2 linked regions of the Kluyveromyces lactis genome follow. The protein of the gene in region 1 interacts with the protein of each later gene in a biochemical or structural test. Links are inferred from orthologs where the notes say so. Each region holds a gene or a part of one and is shown in the gene's direction. Other genes may lie near its edges. The genes, in order: TAF4 and RAP1.

The links.
Region 2: the proteins of TAF4 (region 1) and RAP1 form a complex in vitro, tested with the Saccharomyces cerevisiae proteins (2 studies listed by BioGRID, with this or other methods). The link is inferred for Kluyveromyces lactis from reciprocal best matches to the Saccharomyces cerevisiae genes TAF4 and RAP1.

The regions. Positions count from the first base shown.
Region 1 is NC_006039.1:524,528-530,860, reverse strand, and holds TAF4 (Taf4p), read left to right. Parts: upstream 1-2,544; coding exon 2,545-3,645; downstream 3,646-6,333. Other genes in the region: MVP1 (Mvp1p), read left to right, coding at 1-692; RCL1 (rRNA-processing endoribonuclease), read right to left, coding at 861-1,955; PLB3 (lysophospholipase), read right to left, coding at 4,171-6,093. UniProt on the Saccharomyces cerevisiae protein: Functions as a component of the DNA-binding general transcription factor complex TFIID. Binding of TFIID to a promoter (with or without TATA element) is the initial step in pre-initiation complex (PIC) formation.
Region 2 is NC_006040.1:1,619,585-1,626,555, reverse strand, and holds RAP1 (DNA-binding transcription factor RAP1), read left to right. Parts: upstream 1-3,179; coding exon 3,180-5,180; downstream 5,181-6,971. Other genes in the region: PPN2 (putative serine/threonine-protein phosphatase), read left to right, coding at 1,648-2,580; GTPase-activating protein GYP7, read right to left, coding at 5,334-6,971. UniProt on the Saccharomyces cerevisiae protein: Essential regulatory protein in yeast whose DNA-binding sites are found at three types of chromosomal elements: promoters, silencers, and telomeres.

The DNA.
Region 1 (6,333 bases):
AATGGAATAAAGCAGACGAAAGAATTGATATTGCATTGGATACATGGGTTAAAGTTACTGTTTTAATAGAAAGATACGAGAAAAGGATGAAACAAGTTGCCCATGAAAGAAAATTATTAGGACAAATCCTTAATGCTATTCCAGACACAACGGAAGCATTGTATCCACAATCCACTGCAACAGTTTCTCAAATAAACGAAGGTGTTGGTTTGATAGTAGAGCATTTGAATTCATGTGCAGATGTCATAGAAAGAGAAAACGAGGAAGTCGACAGTGGCCTCTCGGTTAGATTCAAGGCTTTCATTGACGTTATTATAGCGTTGAAAGGATTGTTTGAGAGATATAAGATGATGGCAGGTAACAATATTCCTCAGTTACAAAGAAGGGTAGAAATAAATCAAGAAAGATTGAACACTTTGGAAAGCAACCCTGATGTGAAAGGAGCAGAATATGATCGTGTAAAACAGAGCATCTCCAGAGATAAAAGAAGCATACTCGATCAAATGAACCGAAGCTGGTTGATCAGGGAGTGTATATTGGAGGAATTCACAATATTCCATGAAACTCAATTCTTGATTACAGATTGCTTCCAGAGGTGGATTGAAATAAATTTGAGATACACTAATAACAATGTTGACAATTGGGAAAAAATTTGCAAAAAGCTCCGCGATATGCCCCTGCAAAGACACTAAAACTATCCTACAATATTTATCTTGAATGTTCCAAGCTTTATGGAATTGTTTGATACGATAATAATAAGTGCTACGCGAAGGAATTTGTGTTGACACATATGCATATAAATTTTATATATGAATACTTATGGGAGTCATTTTGTCAGATAAAATGATATGTAATGTCAATTATGCGATTTTCTTATTGGTGTTTGTGAATCCAATACCCTTGATTGTTGCGATTAGATCCGTAGTGTTATCATCCACTGGCTTCAAGAGTATTTCTGTACCGAAAACTTTCTTGATATCCCGTAAGAGCCATACAAATCTTTCATCTATTTGATCCTTAGTGATTCTGAGTCTTCCGATATCTTCTTTACCGATGATCATGTATAAAATTGTAAGTGGCAACTGGTTTCTTCCAACAACTCCACTTTTGCTTATTTCTTCAAGTAGATGATAGGCTACGGATGCACCAATATCTTCTGGAACATCCCCAGCGTCACCGATAGCTTCAGAAAAGATTCTCCATCCTTGTTTGTTCTCTGCTACGAGCGTTAGACCCCAACCTGGACTTTTACCTGAGTTTTCACCTCTCCATACATCTGCAGTTATATTTACTTCACAACTAGCAGATTTAAGAACTTTTTTCGCACCATCAATCATTCTATTTACAAGGGAGGGACTGACTCTTGTGGAGTATGAAACACCTCTTATACTTGAAATCATTGTTTTATCCAAGGCGTGCATTGTAATCGGTTGTGCAATCAATGAATCCACAACAAGGTGTACTTCACCACCACCTAAAGGAGGTGAACCTCTCTTCAAAGTATGTAATGCACATTCCCTGACGCCAAATTTTTCCATAATCGGCATCAACCCCCATTTTATCGCATCTATTCCAGCATCATTATGTGAAGATGTTATACCACGGAATAGGATTGAGAATTTCTTCTTTGAGAAGGGGGCTAAATACAACATTGGCTCGGCAAAATAGCCCACAGGTTTACTGTTCGGACATTGATGTGTGTATGAACCACCAGTAATTATTCCTGGTCTGAAGATGACGGTGGTACCAGTGTATGAAATTTCTATTGAACTACCATTCGTTACCGCTTCCATCAATCTTAGAAAAGAGACTTCGTAATCTTTTAAACCCGGATTTAGGTCATCAGAACGTATCTTTTCTATCTTTATAGCTTTTCCTGACAATGTAGCCATTACTACTCGTAAACGAAAGTTCCGTGAACCTTCAAAGGTTACGTATCTGGAAGAGGATGACATGTCCAATTTGTCTGTTTGTCTGTCCTACTTCGTGAGGAATAAATTTCCTGATAAATCTCTTTAGAGTTTTTAATACAGAAAGTGACCTTCTATCGGACGCTAATGGAATGGTTGATGGAAGTTAACTGAAACCTTTCGATATTGGTTTTGTGTTGTATGTTCAGTTAGGCGATGAGATGAGATGAGATACGCTTTTGACAAATTTTTTGCAAGGAAAAGAAATGAGCTTCGTTACCCGGATTATGTGATCTTTCAATCTTGAAAAAATCAAAGCCAGCAAACAATAGCATCTAAATGAAGAAAGAGGTAGGAACTAGATAGAACTTTTTAGCATAATGTTTAATACTCGCACGTTTTTTTATCTTTGTTGAAATCATTAAGGTTGTACGTTTTTCGCTGAAACTGGATTTTAATTGATAGGCCGCATTTGGACCTGTTTTTAAAGATTGACTTATTCTTTTCATAGTTTATTTGCCTGCATTTTTGGGACAAGTGCAATAGGTGTCCTCAAGTATCCAATACGATTCTTTTTACCCCCGTGTTTCACCAGAGAAAACTATCACTATTGGTCTAATTAGTATAAAATACGATGGCAAAATCGCCCAAGAGAAAGAATTCTGAACCGGAAGATTTATCTTCAAATAAACGTTCCAAATCATTCGAATTTGGCAAAGTAGAGAACGGGCTGGAACCCAGTGGCTCAGATTTTGGCAGTGATCTGCCTACGCCATTCGATACTATGGTTACAGAACAGCCATTAGCTCTACCTAAAGCATCATCTCCAACTACAAACCTAGCATCTCCGCGAAACTCAAGTACGCCAAATTTGAAGACGACGAGTACGACAAGCAAACAATCACAGAAAGCAGAACAGAAGAAGAATGCCGGGGGTTCAACAGGTAGTACGACTGCCTCAACTACAAAACCACAGCAAAGTGATCCAGACAAGCTTAGTGATGCTTTGTTATCGGCCGGTGTTGATATAAGAGAGGAAGAGGCATTGCTAAGTAGCACAGTTGCTAGAACAAAAGCAACCGGTATTTCAGCAAATAACCAGGTCCCATCTCATCCTCCATTCCTACATCCTAAGAACATTTCAGATTTCATGAAAAGAATTGCATCAGAACAAAACTTTCATCAAGATTTCAATAAAAACACTGATATACTCGGATTAATGTCTACTGCATGTGAACTTTACATGAGGGACGTGATAACGAACTCTTTAATCCTATCCATACATAGACGGAAAGGTGTTAAACTAAACACGGGAAGGAGGAGTGAAGTGAGTCGTTCTTTGAGGGATTTAGCATTAAGACAAAAGACTCAAGAAGAAAGAAGAGTACAGAGAAGAATAGCACTCGGTTTAGAAAAACAAACAACGGATGCTAGGTTAGATACTGAAGAGACTCAATATCGTGCATCAAATGCAACTGCCAATTTGATGATTGCAGGGGGTAACAAAAAAAAATATAGTTGGTTGACCGCTGGATCCAAGTCCAGCTCGACAGACCTAAAAAATCAGGGAAATGTTTCATCTGCTGTTGCAGCAAGGGGTGAAATGGGTATCAAATATAGAGAAGCAAGAGAAGAACCTGGCATCGTTATGAGGGACCTTCTTTTAGCTTTAGAAAATAGGCGAGTAGGAGTTAATAATGTTATCACTAAAGGATATGCTAGAATCAGAGACTAGCATTTCCAGTTACTTTGAGGAATAATATGAGTTTCCGAGATGTTCTGTAGTATGCATACTTATATAATATAAACCTTTCGATAAATAACATAGAGACTCATACTTGCATGCGAGATTACTTTTCCTTTTCTACCTGACATGTCGCATATTTAATATTTAAAGATAGTTTTCATTTTTTAGTATCTAAATACTCAAAATCACGTCAGAGACAAATAAAGTTTAAAAAAAATAGAGTTTATTAAACCATTACTTCACACGACGCTTTAATAAGTACACTAATGATCGACGCAATTCGGTACCATTTATCGTTTGTATCTATTATATTACTTTTTAACGAATCATATCAAGATACTTTTATATACTCCAGTCTTGTCAATGATTTGGTCATTGGTCAAAGGAGATCATCTAGAGAAATTGGAAACGAAGGAGGTACAATGACGAATTCATAAGAACGAATCTGCATGAACATCTGAAAACTCAATGCATATATATTTTTTTGGTTTTAGTTTGATACTCATGGGTAAACTAGAAAGAGATGAAGACACTAGCTAAACCTCCAATCAACAAAGATAGCGTACTTCTTGGGGCCAAAATTCTGGCACTATTTTCTTTATTGCCGGAATCAGATGTTGAGGTGGAACTTGCAGAGGAGGATGTAGTGCTTGAGATAGGGGTGGTGGCATCGACAGTTCCATTCCAGCAGTATTTTTCGAAACAAGCATCACATTCAGATGGAAGTGTATAATTTAGTGATTCTTGTTTCCGTCTCAATATGGCGCATGAGATACACCCCATAAAGTTCTCATCTTTAGTGAGATTTTTCATGGTGACAGCTTCGAAACCGTTTTGGATCATCTTAAACCTTTCGGAAGTGGAGTACGACATTTTAAACGTAGATGTGTTACTGTTGAAGGACTCCCTTGTGTTTGGCATATAAACTACTAAAGGTGGAATTGATTCTAGATCAGTCAAATTTCTTGCATCGCACCCAAAGAAGGTAGGTCTTGTATTTAATCCAAGATTGGTGAAAGTGTTCACATCTGGAACATAAGGGAAGGCAATGCCTTTCCCTTGCAGACCAAATTGACGAGCGTAAGTCTGAGTCAATGAAAATCCGTCAGGCCAAGATTGATCCGTGTCTGCACTGTTATCCAAAGCAAAGATAACATCGATTTCCCGCTCAGTTTGCAGCAATGGTGTCAATGGGATATTTTGCCCATCTTCACCACCATCCACTAAATACAATGTATCATCTTCACTGATGGATTGGGAATAATTAGAAGGTATGTTCGTGATTTCGTAGAACGGGTTTGGTGCCCAAATCGAGATGTCATCGTAATCATCAGAAGCATCAGTCAAGAATCCGTGAAGTAAGTTGTACAAGAAAGATGGCAAATCAGTAGTGTTAAGTTGTAATAAAAATTGGTTAAACAAGGAGGAGGACGTACCCATAACAAAACCTGTATTATCGAAGCCTGCAACACATTTTCCTGTTACGTTTGGAGTACCATTAGTAACATTGGTACCAGCATATCTAACATCGGTGAAAGTATGTAAGGTGTAATCCCAGGAGCCCATTTCAAATGGATTAAATTCAAAGACAGTTGCATTCAAATTGACAACCTGAGTACCGGGATATCTACCAACAGCTACTGAAATAGGGAAAGGCATTTCACCATTTTTAAAAACATCAACATCTCTCAAGGTATTCCACGTATAACCCACACCACCTTCGTCCAATGATGGGAAGAAATTGTAAGATAGGGCGCGGCCCCATACATCAGTTATAGATGTGTTGAAGCCGGCTTTTTTTTTCTCTTCCACTGCGTCTGAGATGTCATCCCAACGAGAAATACTGGAAAAAATGTTGATACCGCCAGGATTGACGATAGAATTACTAATATCCCAAATACTATTATCGTCAGTCATGTTGTTGATAATTGCTTGAACAGAAGTCCAGTTATTGTAGGCCAAAGTCCCAACGAGCCAGTTACCACCAGACAAACCAGCCAAATAAGTTGAACTTTGTAATAACCCACCCAAACCATGATCATTTGCACCGTCAGTTCTATTATCCATGGCAGAAATCATACCAGCACCGCTCAACATTGCTCTATAACCACCACCAGAGCAGGCAATAGCAACCTTGGGAGCAGTGTCTTGGGTCGCTAACAGTTTATCAATGATTGAGGTGTCATTGGTAAAACCCTTAAAACCACGCTGCAAGAAGTCCTTCAAAGCTGGTACAGTAGATTCGTGTCTAACTTTCAACCAATCCGCTTCATCATCTGAAACAGCATCAGCTTTTCTAACCAAGTTTATATTCTCATCACAATCGACCACACCAGGAGCGTAACCATTTGTCGGAGACCATGCGTTAACGGCATCTAGATGTAGGGCAACCGAACATACCAGAAACAACAGATTAACTGAGTTCAAAAACCACATCAGAAAAGGAATAAACTAATCTTTAACTCGGAACAATTCTATAGATAACCTAACTCAGAGTTGATGTCTGCGCCCTTCACGATAATACTATGTACAGAAGTGACACACTCCAAAAGATTCAATAAAATAATCGTTTGATTTTACCGAGTGTGGACTTTCTATCGTAAAAGCTGATTGTTTAACTGCTTTAAGTTATGGACTTGGAAATCAACTTAATTGGGTCGAGTTAGGACTCAAGAT
Region 2 (6,971 bases), on another chromosome or scaffold:
GAGTGTGATTGGTCTCGAAGTGCAACCTACCGTGATGATGATTCTTTAAAAGCAGAATTAGAGCAGTTCAACCCACCTTTTTACAATCAAAGTGTTCCTCGAGACACAAATGGAACCCATATAAGCTGTTCTTGGAATTTTGACAACGACACTTTGTTGAGATATGATAACAATACCACTCCGCAGGATTTATGGCAATGTTGTGTGCTACTTGCTGCTGCTGCTAATACACCGTTTCAACGAATGCTACGTCTAGTCTATTGAAATGCTCTATATTTATTTACTTTTCTCTGTTAATAGCATTCTTCTTTCAATGAGAGGGTCTCACTGATAGTCGCTATAGGTGCAAATGGAAGATTCTTCTCACATTTCCCAAAAAAAACAGATCACTGTTGCATATTCTATCGGATGTTTGAGCATTTTCATTGTTTGTGATATTAGATTTGCAATCTGCTGATTATGAATCCTCTGTACGGGGGTTTTGTAGATTAATTTTATCAACCACTTCTGATTCGGAATGCATATATATATATATACCGTCGATGGTGTCTGTATCTCCTTTTAACTATTAAAATGTTCGGTTCAGCCAAGTTTTTCTGATAGAAAGATGCATGAAAATCGTCAACGCTTCCCACTGCATATCAAAGATCCGAAAGCGCTGCTACGTTGATTTCTGGGAGAGCATCAACATCGTCTTAAATACACGTCTGTATACAGCCTATTTCATAATTTTTTTGTTTTGTTACTATGGAGTTTACCACTGACTGATCATCAATAAAGTTTGCTGCTTGCAAGCAATATTGGTCCAACAGTGTCTCATTATAAAGTCTCTGGATAGAAATTGTTTGAAGAATCTATCCTTTTAATGAAAGAAACTTTAAGTTGTTACGTGATATAAGATCGCGGTAAAAAAATAAGATTTATAATTATTAAATCTAAAATATTCCATAACATTAAAAATGAAAGAAAACCCTAACTTCAGTGCTCACCAGTAAACTTGCTGTTGATTCGTATCAGTTCTAAGAAACTTCAAGCATCCTGCCTAATAGTTCGTTTAAGTACTCTGAATGGTACCTGTCTGTCATCAGTGTTAAACAGATAAGTAATCAAATGCATCCGTTCGATTCTCACGGAATCCTGTTAACATGTTTTCTTTATCTGTCATCACATGACCAGTCAAATTATTCTCTTACTGCAGTTTAAGATTACCCAGCCTCAGCCATGGAATCTTTTTTTTTTTTGCTCTGCGCCTGCATCTAACCAGTCGGTTTTTTCCTACGGCTCAGCTTTGTAAGCTTCCCTCCCAAGTGGGTTTTTTAAACCTAGTCCGGAGATACCTTACGAAAAGCACCCGAATGTTTTTGTAACTGCCGATGACTTTTGAAGTATATGAAAGAACAGGTGGAAGGGTGAAATAATGTTGAAATAATGCTTGTATCAAGCAAGAACGCAGGGTATGCGCTTGAGCTTGAAATTTTGCGATATAGTTTGAGCTGGGTCGGTGTTAGACGTGAAAAGAAAGAGAAATTTCATAAGTCGAGAGTGAGGTAGAGCATAAATATCGTGCTGAATACTTACTTGACCACATATTCACAGTGATAGTAAGAGATTATTACGTTTTCAATAACGATTCACAAGCATACTTTCATGAAATTGGCACAAATTCTGACAGCATCGGGAACATTTTTGTTCATGCTTTACGTTACATGGGTGTTTTTAAAGTCCGATGATTATAGAGAATTCCCAGTGATCCAAACCAAAAGACATGCCGACATCAAGCATTCGTACGAAAGACTAGTTTTTGTTGGTGATGTGCATGGGATGTATCATAAATATGAGCAGTTGATGGAAGACAAAGTGAAACCAGATTCTAATACCACTGTGGTTTTTTTGGGTGATTTTATTTCAAAGGGACCAAATTCAAACCGACTTGTGGAACAAATAATATTAAACGATGATGTAGGTTATGACGTGAAATGTGTTCTTGGCAACAACGAATTGAGAATTTTGTATGCATTGTTAAACCCTATATCATTAACTAAAAGGAAATTGATCAAAATCAAATTCTCCTCAGAAGACTTCCTGCCAGACTTACCATCCATCAACAAGAATCATCGCCGTTTAGCAAGAGAATTGGGTTGGGACAATCTTGCTCGATTGGCAGCTAAGTGTGGAGCTATGTGGGAGTTACAGGATCCACTATACGACAATTTCACTCTTGTAGCAGTTCATGCCGGTGTTCTTCCAGATCATTTAGGAAATCCTCCATTGAAAGAAATTACCGATATGAAATACGTCGACGTAAATGATCACTCTCATACTACAAGACAAAAATTCGAGAACGCTACACGATGGTATCATCTTTGGAACCCTTTAGATAAGAAGAAATATTCGATACACAATAAGATTAAAGTGATTTATGGCCATGATTCTTCTAAAGGTCTAAATATTCGTCCAAACACAAAAGGTTTGGATTCTGCTTGCTACAATGGTAACAAATTGACTGCTCTTGAATACGTTTGGAACCATAAGACGAAAGAATACAACCACATTATGCATCAAATCTCTTGTCAAGACTGAAAGTACCCACAATATCTCAGATACACGCACATTATGTGCCCATACATATATAAAGACTACATATAGAAAGAGTTTATCGATGTGTTACCCTGACTCGAACTAAATGAATGTTGCATCTTTTCCTCTGTGATGATAAAGCATCAATAATTGAATTTGAGGAAGCATTCAAAAAAAAAAAACAAAGGATGGCTGGCCAGCACCCAGAGATTACGAACAAACACGACATTTAGGAAATCCGGAATTCAGTGTAAACAAACGTAACCAAAACAAGTCTTTAACGCACACGCGAAGTAGTTAAGAGTTGCGTCAGCTACAAAAGTGAGAGACAAAGCAAGTTCACTCAGAGTAAAGATATTTACAGCACCGCGGGTCTTGTTTTGTTCATTGTGCTACCTTTCATTGTTTGCTCATTGGTTATATTTCTATCGTTTGGTTCAGTTAAAATAAGGTAACAATCAACGGGAAACTGCCGCCTGACTGTTTAGATAATATTATTCACTTGACTTGAGTCGAATGCGTTAAAGAGAGAAGCTGTCTCTACATTGGCGAATCCACGTATACCCTTTACTCATTTAGCAATACAAAACCAACGAAGGAAGATGTCACATGCAGATGATTTTGACACAGCCTTGGATTCCCCATCGGTTCAAATAAAAGAAGATGTAGGTGTTTTTGATGGAGTCTCGTTTTTCATTGACCCTTTGATCAACGACATGGAAGCTTTGGGCAATGCAGTTCGCAATAACGGTGGGGCAGTCTTAATAGAGGCTCCAGAGAAGAGTTCGAGAGAATGGGAAGCAGCATATTTTGTTTCCAAGAGGTATGATGAGGACTATAGAATATTTGTGCATCCATCTTACATTTTAGATTGTATTGATGCAGGTACACTTTTAAACGTCCATGATTACTTGGGTAAACCTGAGTCTTCCGGGTTTGTTCGGTTCGATTCTAACTCCATCTCTGATGAATATAACATTGGTAGTCAGCTATCCGATCTTCCTGGCTCTGACGTAACAAGAGCTGCAGTCAAGATAGCAACAGGGATCAACGAGTCGATTGATTCCGAGAATACTCGGGGCCAGAGAGAAATGGATTCTGATTCGTCCCCAGAAGTGAAAATGTCTTCCAAGGATGACGAAATAGCTTCTCATGACCAACAGCAACAATTGACCCACACAGATGTAGATGATGCCAATGATCTTATTTTACATGAGCAAGCAAGTTCAAGTCATAATAAATCCTCATTCACTAAAGAAGAGGATGAATTCATCCTTGATGTTGTCAGGAAGAACCCCACTAAGAGAACCACACACACATTATACGATGAAATCTCACATTATGTCCCTAATCATACTGGGAATTCTATCAGACATAGATTTAGAGTCTATTTATCGAAGAGATTAGAATTCGTTTATCAAGTCGATGAAGATGGTAAATTGGTAAGGGACCAGGATGGAAATCTAATCAAAACAGACATTCTACCGAATGGATTAAAGAGGAAATTTACAAGTGAAGAAGATTATAATTTGGCGGTTGCTGTGAAAAAACAGTTTTACAGAGATGCTTTTCAAAGAGACCCTGATACAGGAGCAAGCTTGATCGCTGAAGATGATGAACCTAACATTGTCGCGAAACGACAATTAGTTATGAATACAGAAATTGATCCATCAGAAGTACCTTCTTTCGAAAAGTATACTGTAAATGACCGCCGAGGACCATTGTCTCGTGAATTTTTCAAATTATTCGCACTTGAAGTACCAACCCATTCAGAAAATGCATGGAGGGATCGTTTCCGTAAATTTATTCTGCCTTATGGTATTGATTCATACATTTCATACTATGAGAAATGCATGGAAGAAGGTATAGAACCTGAGTCTATCAAAAATATGACCAACAGACCCAAGAGAGAAGGACCATCACCCGGAAACTATAATACGACCCTAAAAAAGAGTAAGAGATCTACCGAAGGTGGTACTCAGCAATCAACAGATACCAGTTTGAATGATTTCTTCTTAGAATCAGATGCATTCGATCTAATAGATGGTATTAGGCGTGATTTGCACGCAGCTGAAACACAACAAGAAGAGCAAGCACGTTCATTGTATGCTGATGATGTCGCGGAAAGAATTCGTCATCAAGTGGCTTTGGAACATGAAGAGTATGATAACTATGATTTTGATTCAATACCTTTCCCACCCAAGCTCGCTGATAATGATGATTTCTTTGATCATACCTTTTTCAATTTCAGATCTACCAAGGAGTTCATACAAAAGTTGGAAGAGATTATTACTAGGGAATATGATGAGTCACAAGCAGATGTCCTTGTTCATGATCTTGACGTTGAGTGCGGTATCAGAAAGAAATACGCTACATCTGTCCTAACTGCTTTAACTGGTGATATCTCATTGTTTCCAAGATACATTCTGACATCATTCAAATATGGAGTACATCTTCCGCAAAATGTCCCCGGTATATGGACGAAGGAGGATGATGTGATCTTAAGATCAAAGAATCCAGATGGAATGAAGATGCTAGAAAAGAAACATGGTATTGCTAGAATGCAAATGAGGATAAGGTTCCAAGAGAACAATCTAGTGTGAATAAACACTCTTGTTGTCTCACTTAGGTAACTAACATTTCCCTACTTTCATTATAATATACCGATTTTGGTCGCAGTTGTCAGTCTTTGACATGAAATTATCATACTTTATATGTAATGTATCGATCATATTTATGAGCAGAAACATAATGTACTATTTTATTGAGTCCTTGCTGCGGGGCCCTTCCTTTTGTATCACAAGTTCTTTTGATAATAATTCTTTCAAATTTTCACTTATAAGCGATGGATGATGTAACGGGGGATCTTCCGCTTCGCTCGTGAGCGGTATTTCATGTCCATTATACCCTGTACTTGTAGTCCTCTTGCTTATTAGTTCTTCCTCTCTTTCGAGAACTTCAATCATTTTCTGAAACTTTATAAAAAGAAGTTCGCTTCTTATCATGATATCAGACCAATCCATGCTGTTTCTCAAATCATTGAAATATTTTAACACGTCGTCAAACTCTGTTAATTGAGAAACGACGACATCGCTGTGTTTTTGTAATATTGCCAACATGAAGAAAAGTTGGAACTGTGAACTGTAATAATCAGTCCAAAATATTTCCCATATTTTACAAACATCACTAAACTCAAACTCTCTTTTGAACCATACGAGTAACATTCTGAAACAGAAAAATAGATCAGCTGATTCGCACTTTTTCAAATGTTCCGCAAACTTTGGTAACATAAACTGACAAAGGTCAACAAGAGTTAGCATTTGATCTCTGATACCAGATTGATCTCTCAAAAAATTTCTTTCCATCCTATTCATGAAATTGACAAAACACCAGAAGGAAAGTGCCTCATCTTGAAGTACAAAGTATATCAGAGAGAGTAAATCGGTCATTCCCTGAACATATCCAAGATTTGGATTGTAGATATTGTAGCTAATGAGAATATTTTTCAAGGCTTGGAGATGAGGGTTTTTGATTTCCCACTCTTCTTCCTGGTCTCCTTTATTTGGTGCTTCTTCATTTTTAGCACCATCTTCCTTTCCATCTTTAGTATTGTGCCTATATAGAGGAATATCACGATCATTTCTAAGCACATCTTTCGAAATTCGGAATACTTGGTCTTTCCAATATTCTTCTTCTTCTGAATCATCAAGCACATCTCTGTAAATCCATTTCGACTTGTAATTTGCATTGTAATCCTCCTCCATGGCCTGCTTTAGCTCTTTACGCTCTTGTAAAGAAGAGTCCCAAGGATAAACTCCCAAAAGAAATAGCCACACTTCGCTTCTCAATGCGTCATTTTCGACCCCGCCATGGAAGATAAAATCTTTGACCTCATGCACAGTTATAGAAAGCCTACCTTGCGAGTCAAACAAAGAGTCCCATTTCTGCTTCGTTAAGGGAAATGACCTCTGTACAGCTATATTCAATTCCTCGGGTGATATTTCCACATCGTTTGAAATTCCTAATTCATTTCTCAAAATTCTCTTATACGTGTCATCCAAATAGTGTTCCTTTTGATAACGCTCAGCCTCTTGTTTCACACCCATTGCCCATTTTGCTAGATATATTTTGGCACTATCAAATTCATCTTGGACTTCTACGACCCTTGGATTTTTCATCAATTGTTTAACGTACACATTGTCACTGTGCTTGTCAATCATTTGAACTATTGGATGTTTCTTTACTAGTTTTCCGAATAGATTAGATGCCGTCGTTGTTGCGTCCGCAAATTTGGACATAATTGACCATCTCGTTGCTTCAAGGCTGTCCCATATATTACCATCATCTTTGGAAGATGAACCGGATTGAGGTCTTTGGAAATTGTTCAACGAAAA